2 linked regions of the Nothobranchius furzeri genome follow. The protein of the gene in region 1 purifies or fractionates together with the protein of each later gene. This does not show direct contact. Links are inferred from orthologs where the notes say so. Each region holds a gene or a part of one and is shown in the gene's direction. Other genes may lie near its edges.

The links.
Region 2: the proteins of AP-1 complex subunit beta-1 (region 1) and AP-1 complex subunit sigma-2 purify together in Homo sapiens (affinity purification with mass spectrometry; 3 studies listed by BioGRID and IntAct, counting the BioPlex papers as one, with this or other methods). This does not show direct contact. The link is inferred for Nothobranchius furzeri from reciprocal best matches to the Homo sapiens genes AP2B1 and AP1S2.

Annotation. Positions count from the first base shown.
Region 1 is NC_091750.1:66,899,376-66,903,194, forward strand, and holds part of AP-1 complex subunit beta-1, read left to right. Parts: coding exon 1-30; intron 31-532; coding exon 533-725; intron 726-1,170; coding exon 1,171-1,212; intron 1,213-3,379; coding exon 3,380-3,535; intron 3,536-3,612; coding exon 3,613-3,758; intron 3,759-3,819. UniProt on the Homo sapiens protein: Component of the adaptor protein complex 2 (AP-2). Adaptor protein complexes function in protein transport via transport vesicles in different membrane traffic pathways.
Region 2 is NC_091749.1:41,411,791-41,416,390, forward strand, and holds the start of AP-1 complex subunit sigma-2, read left to right. Parts: upstream 1-1,652; 5' UTR 1,653-1,759; coding exon 1,760-1,762; intron 1,763-2,205; coding exon 2,206-2,384; intron 2,385-3,819; coding exon 3,820-3,928; intron 3,929-4,031; coding exon 4,032-4,169; intron 4,170-4,320; coding exon 4,321-4,368; 3' UTR 4,369-4,600. UniProt on the Homo sapiens protein: Subunit of clathrin-associated adaptor protein complex 1 that plays a role in protein sorting in the late-Golgi/trans-Golgi network (TGN) and/or endosomes.

The DNA of each region.
Region 1 (3,819 bases):
CCGCAAACACCTTCCTGTCCAGCACAGCAGGTAGGACACACTGAGCATATACATCACACATCCATGCGCCTCGTATTATTCACCAGAAAGCATTTTAACTTTGTTCAACGATGAGGGAGCTTTAAAAACACTGATCCAGTTTTCTGGACATCTCTGCCTCCACACCTTAAAACGGTTTATGTACTTAAGGATTCAAAAATATTATGACATCTCTGGAGAACTTTCAACATGTTGGTCCCTGCTTTTTTAATTCAAGGAGCAATCTAAACGCAGGAGCTCTTCAGTCCGTATTAATATTACATCTGCTTCACTAATTGATCTGCAGAACAGGAAATCCAGGTTTCCAATAAAAACTTAAAGAAAAAGTTCTTTTCACAGCATTTGCTTAGAGCCACAGTACTTTGTTGTTGTATTGGCCATTATATGTGAATTATGTCCTACTTTGACTGTAGGAAGTTGGAGTTTTAGTTTTGAATCTTATCGTAAATAAGTGATTTTAGGTTGTCTGTCTGCTCCTTTCTCCTGTTAACAGCATCGACACAGGTGAGAGCCCCGTGAGCGGTGGGCCGGCCACTGCCATGGATCAGCCACACGTGATCCCCAGTCAGGGAGACTTACTGGGTGACCTGCTGAACCTGGACCTGGGCCCTCCAGTCAATGTTCCCCAAGTGTCCTCCATGCAGATGGGTGCGGTGGATCTTCTGGGTGGAGGCCTGGATAGTCTGGTGAGCTCATGCTGATTTTTACAGTGAATCCAGATAATTAGACATTTGTCTTTTCAAATTCAAATGACACATCAGCAACAGCCTGGTTTTGTTAGAAATACAGTAATGAACACACACTGTCCGCTGGAGGAGGAAACACTAGTAGTAGTTATTACTGCTTAGTCCTTCAGTTTTAAAATAAAAATATCTGGTGTAACACTTCTTATATATGAGTTAATATCTACTGTAGATAATTATAATTTAATAATATTCAGAAATTTCTTCTCACACCAGCTTGTTTCAGGCTGCAATCTAAATGTCTTCCAGAGTATTTTTTATAGATGCATCAGAGATTTAGTATTTTCCCAGAACGCAGTGAGAGGTTCCTTTTGATTGGTCGCTAAGAAAGTCTCTCTCTGTTTTTGTTTGTGTGTTCGGTGTGTCTGCGATGTTTGGGGGGCTGTAGCTGGGAGGAGACCTGGGCGGAGGTGTTGGGGGAAGTCCAGCAGTAAGTGGAGACCTTCTGTTTGACCGTCTGCATGCTGCACGCGTCCTGAATATAGTCATCATCACACTCTTAAGCTGACACCTTCAGCTTTTTGTGGATGACACACTTACATGCATGCTTGTAATGTTTCAGCCCATTTACTGGTAATGAAAATGAATTAACCCATTACAGGAGAATCCATCTAATTAATGTTCTAGTCTAGTTCGTGGACAAAATTTTATTAAAAAAAAAAAAAAAAAAAAGCATATTTGGTTTCAGAAATTCATGTAATTGTTACATAAAACATAAAAAACAGCAACAGGAGCTGAGCGGTTCCTTCCCGACTTTAAGCCTTTTGATTTAGCTGCTTCCATGTGTATGAATAGCTGGGTTATCTTAATCATGTTCTGTTTTGTTTATAATTTTTGTTTTAATCCACAATATATTAATAATTGAACTTTTCTGAAAATCTAATTTAATGAGCTCTAGTGATTTAGCCTCGGGTGCCAATAGTTCTGCAGGAAATGGGCTAAAACACACACACACACACACACACACACCGTTCTTTGTTACCTGCCTGGTTTTTGTTCTAAGTAGCATTAGCTTCTCATAATAACATTCCTCCTTCCTTCTGAGCATTAAAGCAGAAATCTGGAGCTTTTCCTCATAGTGCACCATCTAGAGGCAGAATATATAGAAGAAGTAGAAGAAGAAGAAAATACCATTTCTATAGCGCCTCTCAAGATAAAAATCACGAGGCGCTTCACAAAAACAAAAAATGTAAAAATATAAATAAGCATTTAGAAATTGTTTAAAATATATTAAAATGAGCAAAAATAGGCAATTGTGATTAAAAAAATGTAAAGAAAGAGAGAGAGAGAGAGTGAACAGGAAAGAGGGAAATCAGTGGATCCTGAGGAAGGTGGAATAGGTGGGGAGAGCAGAATAAAGAGAGAGTGGTGAAGAAGGTTATACAAATGCCAGCTTGAACAAGTGAGTCTTCAGCTGCTTTTTAAAGGAGACCACTGAGTCCACTGATCTCAGGCTCAGGGGGAGAGAGTTCCAGAGTCTGGGGGCCACAGCAGCAGATGATCTGTCACCTTTGGTCTTTAGCCTGGTGCTGCACAACCAGTAGACTTTACTATATACTGTTTAACTGTAAGTAGTGCCAACTCTGCATCTGTCTAGGGATATCCTCTCACTCTCGCACGCTCTGTGATTGACATCTGTAGGTAAGTGGATGTCTCACCCCGGCTTTCCACAGGAGCCGTCAGCAGCACGTTACTGCAGCAGCACGTCATAGCTGCTGATAGGAACTGCTGTGGTCAACAGAACCTTTTCCACTGGAGCCGTCGGCAGCGCGAGTCGGCCGCGTCTCAGGAGCAGCATGTCGCGGCCTTTACGCGCCGGTTCTATTTTCTACGCGTGACGCCTCTGAAACGGGTCAAGTTCGACATTTTTGGGGAAGGAAAGACAGGAAATCGGACACGGAAATGGAGAGAATCTACCGAGATTTTCAGAATAAAGAACGTACTGCTTTCCGGTTGCTTTACTTTTAAAAAAGGTTACTAACAGTGCGTCCCCGTGAGAAGTTATCACCTAGCTAGCGGTCTCCTTTGTTTTTCAGGTCAGTATTGGCGATTATAAAACGGACAGAACATAAAACACAAACCATGTTGTAGTTTTCTCCTGCTTGTTGTTGTGTTTACTGACAAAGTCACTCGTGTGACTTCGTGCTCGGTCGGTGACAGCTGCTCCCCTGCTGCTTCGCGTCTCGTGGGAAGGGCCAAGCAGCAGTTTACGCGAGCAAGACGTGCTGCTGCAGTAACGTGCTGCTGACGGCTCCCGTGGAAACCCGGGGTCACGCTATTGGCTAGTGCTAAGCAGTGCTCAATTCAAATTCCATGGGTCTCTATGGGACGGGGGAAGGGCTTACCCAAAAATTGTATTACCTACATTGTATCAGAGTAAGAATATCACTTCTACAGATTTCTAAAAAAAAAAAATCTTACATAATTCCTGAAAGGAGGGAAAACTCCAGATTGCTGCTTTAAGGTTCTGTGTGGGATTTGTTTAATGAGCTTTTAGCAGTTTTTATTAATCAAACTTGCCAGAGGTGCTTCATCCAAAAAATTGCTAATTAAAATGTGTTTATTTTTTGTTTCTGTTCTTGTGTGATTTTTTTTAGGTGGGGCAAAACTTCATCCCTTCATCTGTCCCCAGTACGTTTGCTCCATCTCCCACACCCGCACCTCCAGCTGTCAGCAGCAGCGGCCTCAATGACCTGTTCGAACTCTCCACGGGCATGGCCACCACCACCGGAGGCTACATACCGCAAAAAGCAGTGAGTGAACACAACCTAATCCCAGAGGTGTACGTTTCATTAAATGGTAGAGGTGACTTGTGTGGTGGCTTTTACAGGTGTGGCTTCCTGCAGCTAAAGCAAAGGGACTGGAGATCTCCGGAACCTTCTCTCGTCGTCAGGGACACATGTACATGGACATGTCTTTCACCAACAAGGCTCTGCAGCACATGAATGATTTTGCAATCCAGTTCAACAAGAATAGGTTAATGACAAAAAAATCCTACCTGCTGCTCTGATTTCAGTCAGAAACTCACAGCTGGAGA
Region 2 (4,600 bases), on another chromosome or scaffold:
AGGTTGTTAGAAATGCATGCCATACTTAAGATATTTAGATTTTCTTCAAATTTTGAAAACAATGCATCAGTTGTATTCCACATCACAGTTCCATGCTACTTTGTGTTGGTCTATTTAAGAAAATGTCAATAAAAACATTCACAAGGTTGTAAGGTGTGAAAATCTGTAAAAATCAAGGGTATGTTATTTTACAAAGCACTGAATATATATGATAATAATCATATTGATGATGAAAAATACATTTTATTTATTTCATCACTTCTTTATATTACGTTATTTATTTGGTTATTTATTTGATTTATCTTTCATGATACTGATGCTGTAATTTTGCACAACAGTAATTGTGACTTTTATTCTTTGAAATTTTTAGCATCGTATGATTGTGTTTTGTGGATAACTTTATGGTTAAATTGAGCTCCACGAAAAGTTCAATAGGATTTTTAAATTGTAATGACTCTAAATAACCTGCAACAGAACAAGCTAAAGATCATTCTTGCTCATTCAAAAGTCAGGACCTTACTGAGTAAATTCATTTATTTGACATCATCATATTAAAATATGTTTTTTCCATCAGATCACATAACCATTAACCTGGGCCAATGACCCTGTTTTTAACAGATTTGTGTGAAATGTATGTGTGTATATTTGTTGGTGGCTCCGCCCTTTCAGTCTGCTAGGCAACAGCATTTGTAGCATTTTTCAAACTGGAAGTGGGAGTGGAGTAATACTCTGGTAGGGGGTGACTTGCTCTTTAATATGTCTGTGTCCTTTGTGCTGTATAGTTCTGGAAACACAATTTTCATTTTTATTCATTGTTTTTAGTGGATGAAGTATTCAATAACAGCTTATTGCGTTTGTGTGTTTACCTGTAATCTTGTTATTATTTGTTTTCTTCCTTTTTCTCCAAGTGTGTGCGCTGCTGTAGCAAGTGAATTTCCCCACTGTGCGATCAATAAAGTATATTCTAATCAAAGTGTTTTTGGATTGTTGTTGTTGTACATTGAAGTTGCGAGACTTTCTTTATGAAAATTCTCTTCGAATAGTTCTTATTATATGCAAAATTATCTTTACTATTATTTGTTTAGAGCCGAAATAGAGACATATTTTAAGTGAAACATTTTAACACAAACATTAGAAAAACAACCATGACACGTTTTTGAAGACTTTTGTTGTTTTGTAATACCACAGCCAGCCACTTGAGGGCGACGAAAGTCCAGCAGAGGTCGGTTTTACAATTGAAGAATCTGAAAAGAAAACCAATGTGCGAGCGTGTGTGTGTGTGTGAGAGAGAGAGAGAGAGAGAGAGAGAGAGAGAGAGAGAGAGAGAGAGAGAGAGAGAGAGAGAGAGAGAGAGAGAGAGAGAGAGAGAGAGAGAGAGAGAGAGAGACTCTGCCCCTCACAACTGTTAATTTTACTTTACTCATTAATAGGAAATTACTGTGGGCGCATCTATGTAGCTGCTTAACTCTAAAAAAAGTCTTCGCTTCCTTGTGTGTTTGGTTGTTTCTTGTTGTTTTTAAAATAACACATTTAGGTTTCTGGTGGAAGTGAAATTCAGCACCTCTGATACAAAAATGTTTTCTGGATTGACGTACAACGTAAGGAATAACGGAACCTTTCAACCAATCACATTGCAGAATCTTTGCTGTGTTGACCAATCCCTGCGCTTGTTCTCACACCCAGCATTCGCTAGGCAGTTTAGCATCGAGCAGAAGGAGGAACTAATCATCTGACAGATAGAAGTGTCTTTTGGCTCTCTATGGTAATATTTTTAACTTTACTGTACTGAAGTTCAGTTCGTGTAAGTCACTGTTTTGCAGACCAAATTAAAAGTCATGAGTATTCAGTCTCGTTTGCTGTAGCTAAGCAGGCGTCGCAGGAGGGGGTGCAAATGTCACGAAACGTGGTTTAGATGTTAAAATAGGACAATTAAGCGACCTTAGCTAACGTGAGATAATCTAACGTTATGTTAAAGCCTCACGGGTGTGTTATGTACTGAGTCTAAAAGTCGTTTGATCGAATGGTACCTCCATGTATCCTAGTAAACAGTTCAGTCAAATCTAATTTCACTGACTTTTTGCCTCACGTTCATTGCTGCGTGATTAGTTCAGTTTCCCGCATCCATATACCCTCAAACATCCAGTCTTCCTTTGTTCTTCGTATTTATTTGTATCTACATGTCGACCATCATTATTCCTTCCTCAGATGCAGTTCATGCTGTTGTTCAGCCGGCAGGGGAAGCTGCGGTTACAGAAATGGTATGTTCCTCTGTCTGACAAGGAGAGGAAGAAGATCTCGAGAGACCTGGTCCAGACCATTCTGGCCAGGAAGCCCAAGATGTGCAGCTTCTTGGAATGGAGAGACCTCAAGATTGTGTACAAAAGGTAAGTTAAAAGTTTTAGAGGGCATTCAAGTACCCTCACACTTGATGATGCATGCACACACTTCTGTTTTTCCTCAAATTGACCATAATCTGCTTAAAATATTCACTTACAGGCTTTTTCACATCAATTTAGTGAGACCTGCAAAAACAAAAACGTTTCTCTATGATTTTCACTACAGCTAATTTATATAAACATTAATGTGAGAATAAAGTCTTTTCAACTGGATGCTTATTGTTACTTGTTGCCATGTTAAAATATTTATAGATTTATTTTAAAAACTGCATCTTCATCAGCAAATTCAGAAATAGTCTAGAAAAAGTTGGCTAAAGTAGCTCATACATACCGTGTTTATGTAAATGGCACATTTAAAAACATCGTGACAGCTGACCAAAGTACTTCACAAAGGAACAAGGATGCTCCGTAGTTACAGGACAGACAACAATGTCTGACATTACGGCATCACATCTAGTTGATAGAAACACAGCAAGGTATAATATCTAAAACAATGCACCACATGAACAAGGAGGTTAAAAGAGGAGGGGCTTTGAAAAGCAAAAACACAATAATGAAGACACGTGAGCAGCAAAACATAATCCAATAAAACACACATACACGGCAGATGGTAAAAGATGAAAAACCTAATTACTGACCAAAAGATAAATGATAAAAGTGGGCCTTAAGAACAGACTTAAAACGGGCTATTAATGGGGCCTGCCATACATGTAACGAGTGAATTTAGAGTTTAGGATTGGCAAATTAGACTTGCTCCTAGGGGTGGGCAATATAAACGATATCAGGTAGAAATGATAAAAAATTGGCTAATGATAGTGTTTTTGGCTATATCGCAATACCGCGATATTGCGGAGGAGGAGGCCTATATGCCTCAAGTGGCATATATTTGTCACATGAGGATATTTAAAAGCATGTCAATTTGACATGTATTAACAGAGGGGAAAAAAATATTGCAATATATATCGTTACCGCACATGCTTCAGATTATATCGCAATATAGATTTGAGGCCATATCGCCCAGCCCTACTTGCTCCTGAGACTTGTAGTGCAATTTAGGGACACACAGGAGCAGGTGATCTGCAGACCTCAAAGATGTGGAGGAGACATAGGACAGGATCAGCTCTAAAGGGGGAGCTGTACCATTACAGCCATCACACACAAAAGTTAAAACATGTAACTGAACTCGGAAACAGATTGGAAGCCAGTGCTATTCAGGATGGGAGTCATGTGGCCGCATCTGGACATGTTTGTAAGGAATCCAGCTGCTTGATTTGTGCCATAGAGGATCATGTGAGAAACCGTTTTAGGATTTCATTTTATTAACAATTACAAACATGCATGTAAGTTGTGAAAATACAAATGCTGTCCCACCCTTTTTGCTATTATTGATCTTTGCATGTCTGCTCTCTTCATACATAAATAGATATGCCAGTCTGTACTTCTGTTGCGCCGTTGAGGATCAAGATAACGAGTTGATCACCCTGGAAATCATCCATAGATACGTGGAGCTTCTGGACAAATATTTTGGCAGCGTGAGTTTTGCAAATATTACACATTTGTAGTGCTGAGAAGCTGCAAAGATGGAATCTTCCCTGACCTTCTGTAGTTTTTTTATATGGTGCTTTTGTCCTATAGGTGTGTGAGCTTGATATTATCTTCAACTTTGAGAAGGCCTATTTTATCCTGGATGAGTTCTTGCTGGGCGGAGAGGCCCAGGAAACATCCAAAAAGAATGTGCTGAAGGCCATCGAGCAAGCCGACTTATTGCAGGAGGTACGATCATTTCCTAAACACCACATCACCGTGTGCCTGAAAGCTGTCTTCTTTGCAAGTTAAAGCTTGTGTTGACTTTGTGGCTAACGCTGATATTTTTATGTATAAAATGTGTGACAGGTGTCCTGATACTTTCTCTTTACTCTTACAGGAAGCAGAGGCCCCACGTAGTGTCTTAGAAGAAATTGGGTTGACATAAATCCCCCTGCTTCTCACACTGATCTGATCACATCCATGCCTCCATTGTGTCTTCTCCTCATTTACCGTGTCAGTGTTGTGTTTGTATAACCACCATGAGTGTACTGTATTATGTACTATCCTGTAATGTCCTTTCAGTGTGGTGCCAACTGTGGTGTTATTGTGTCTCCTCACTACGAGCTCCGTCACCGTCATCTGCAGCATTTAGCATCACTTCTCGCTCTGCAGAGCAA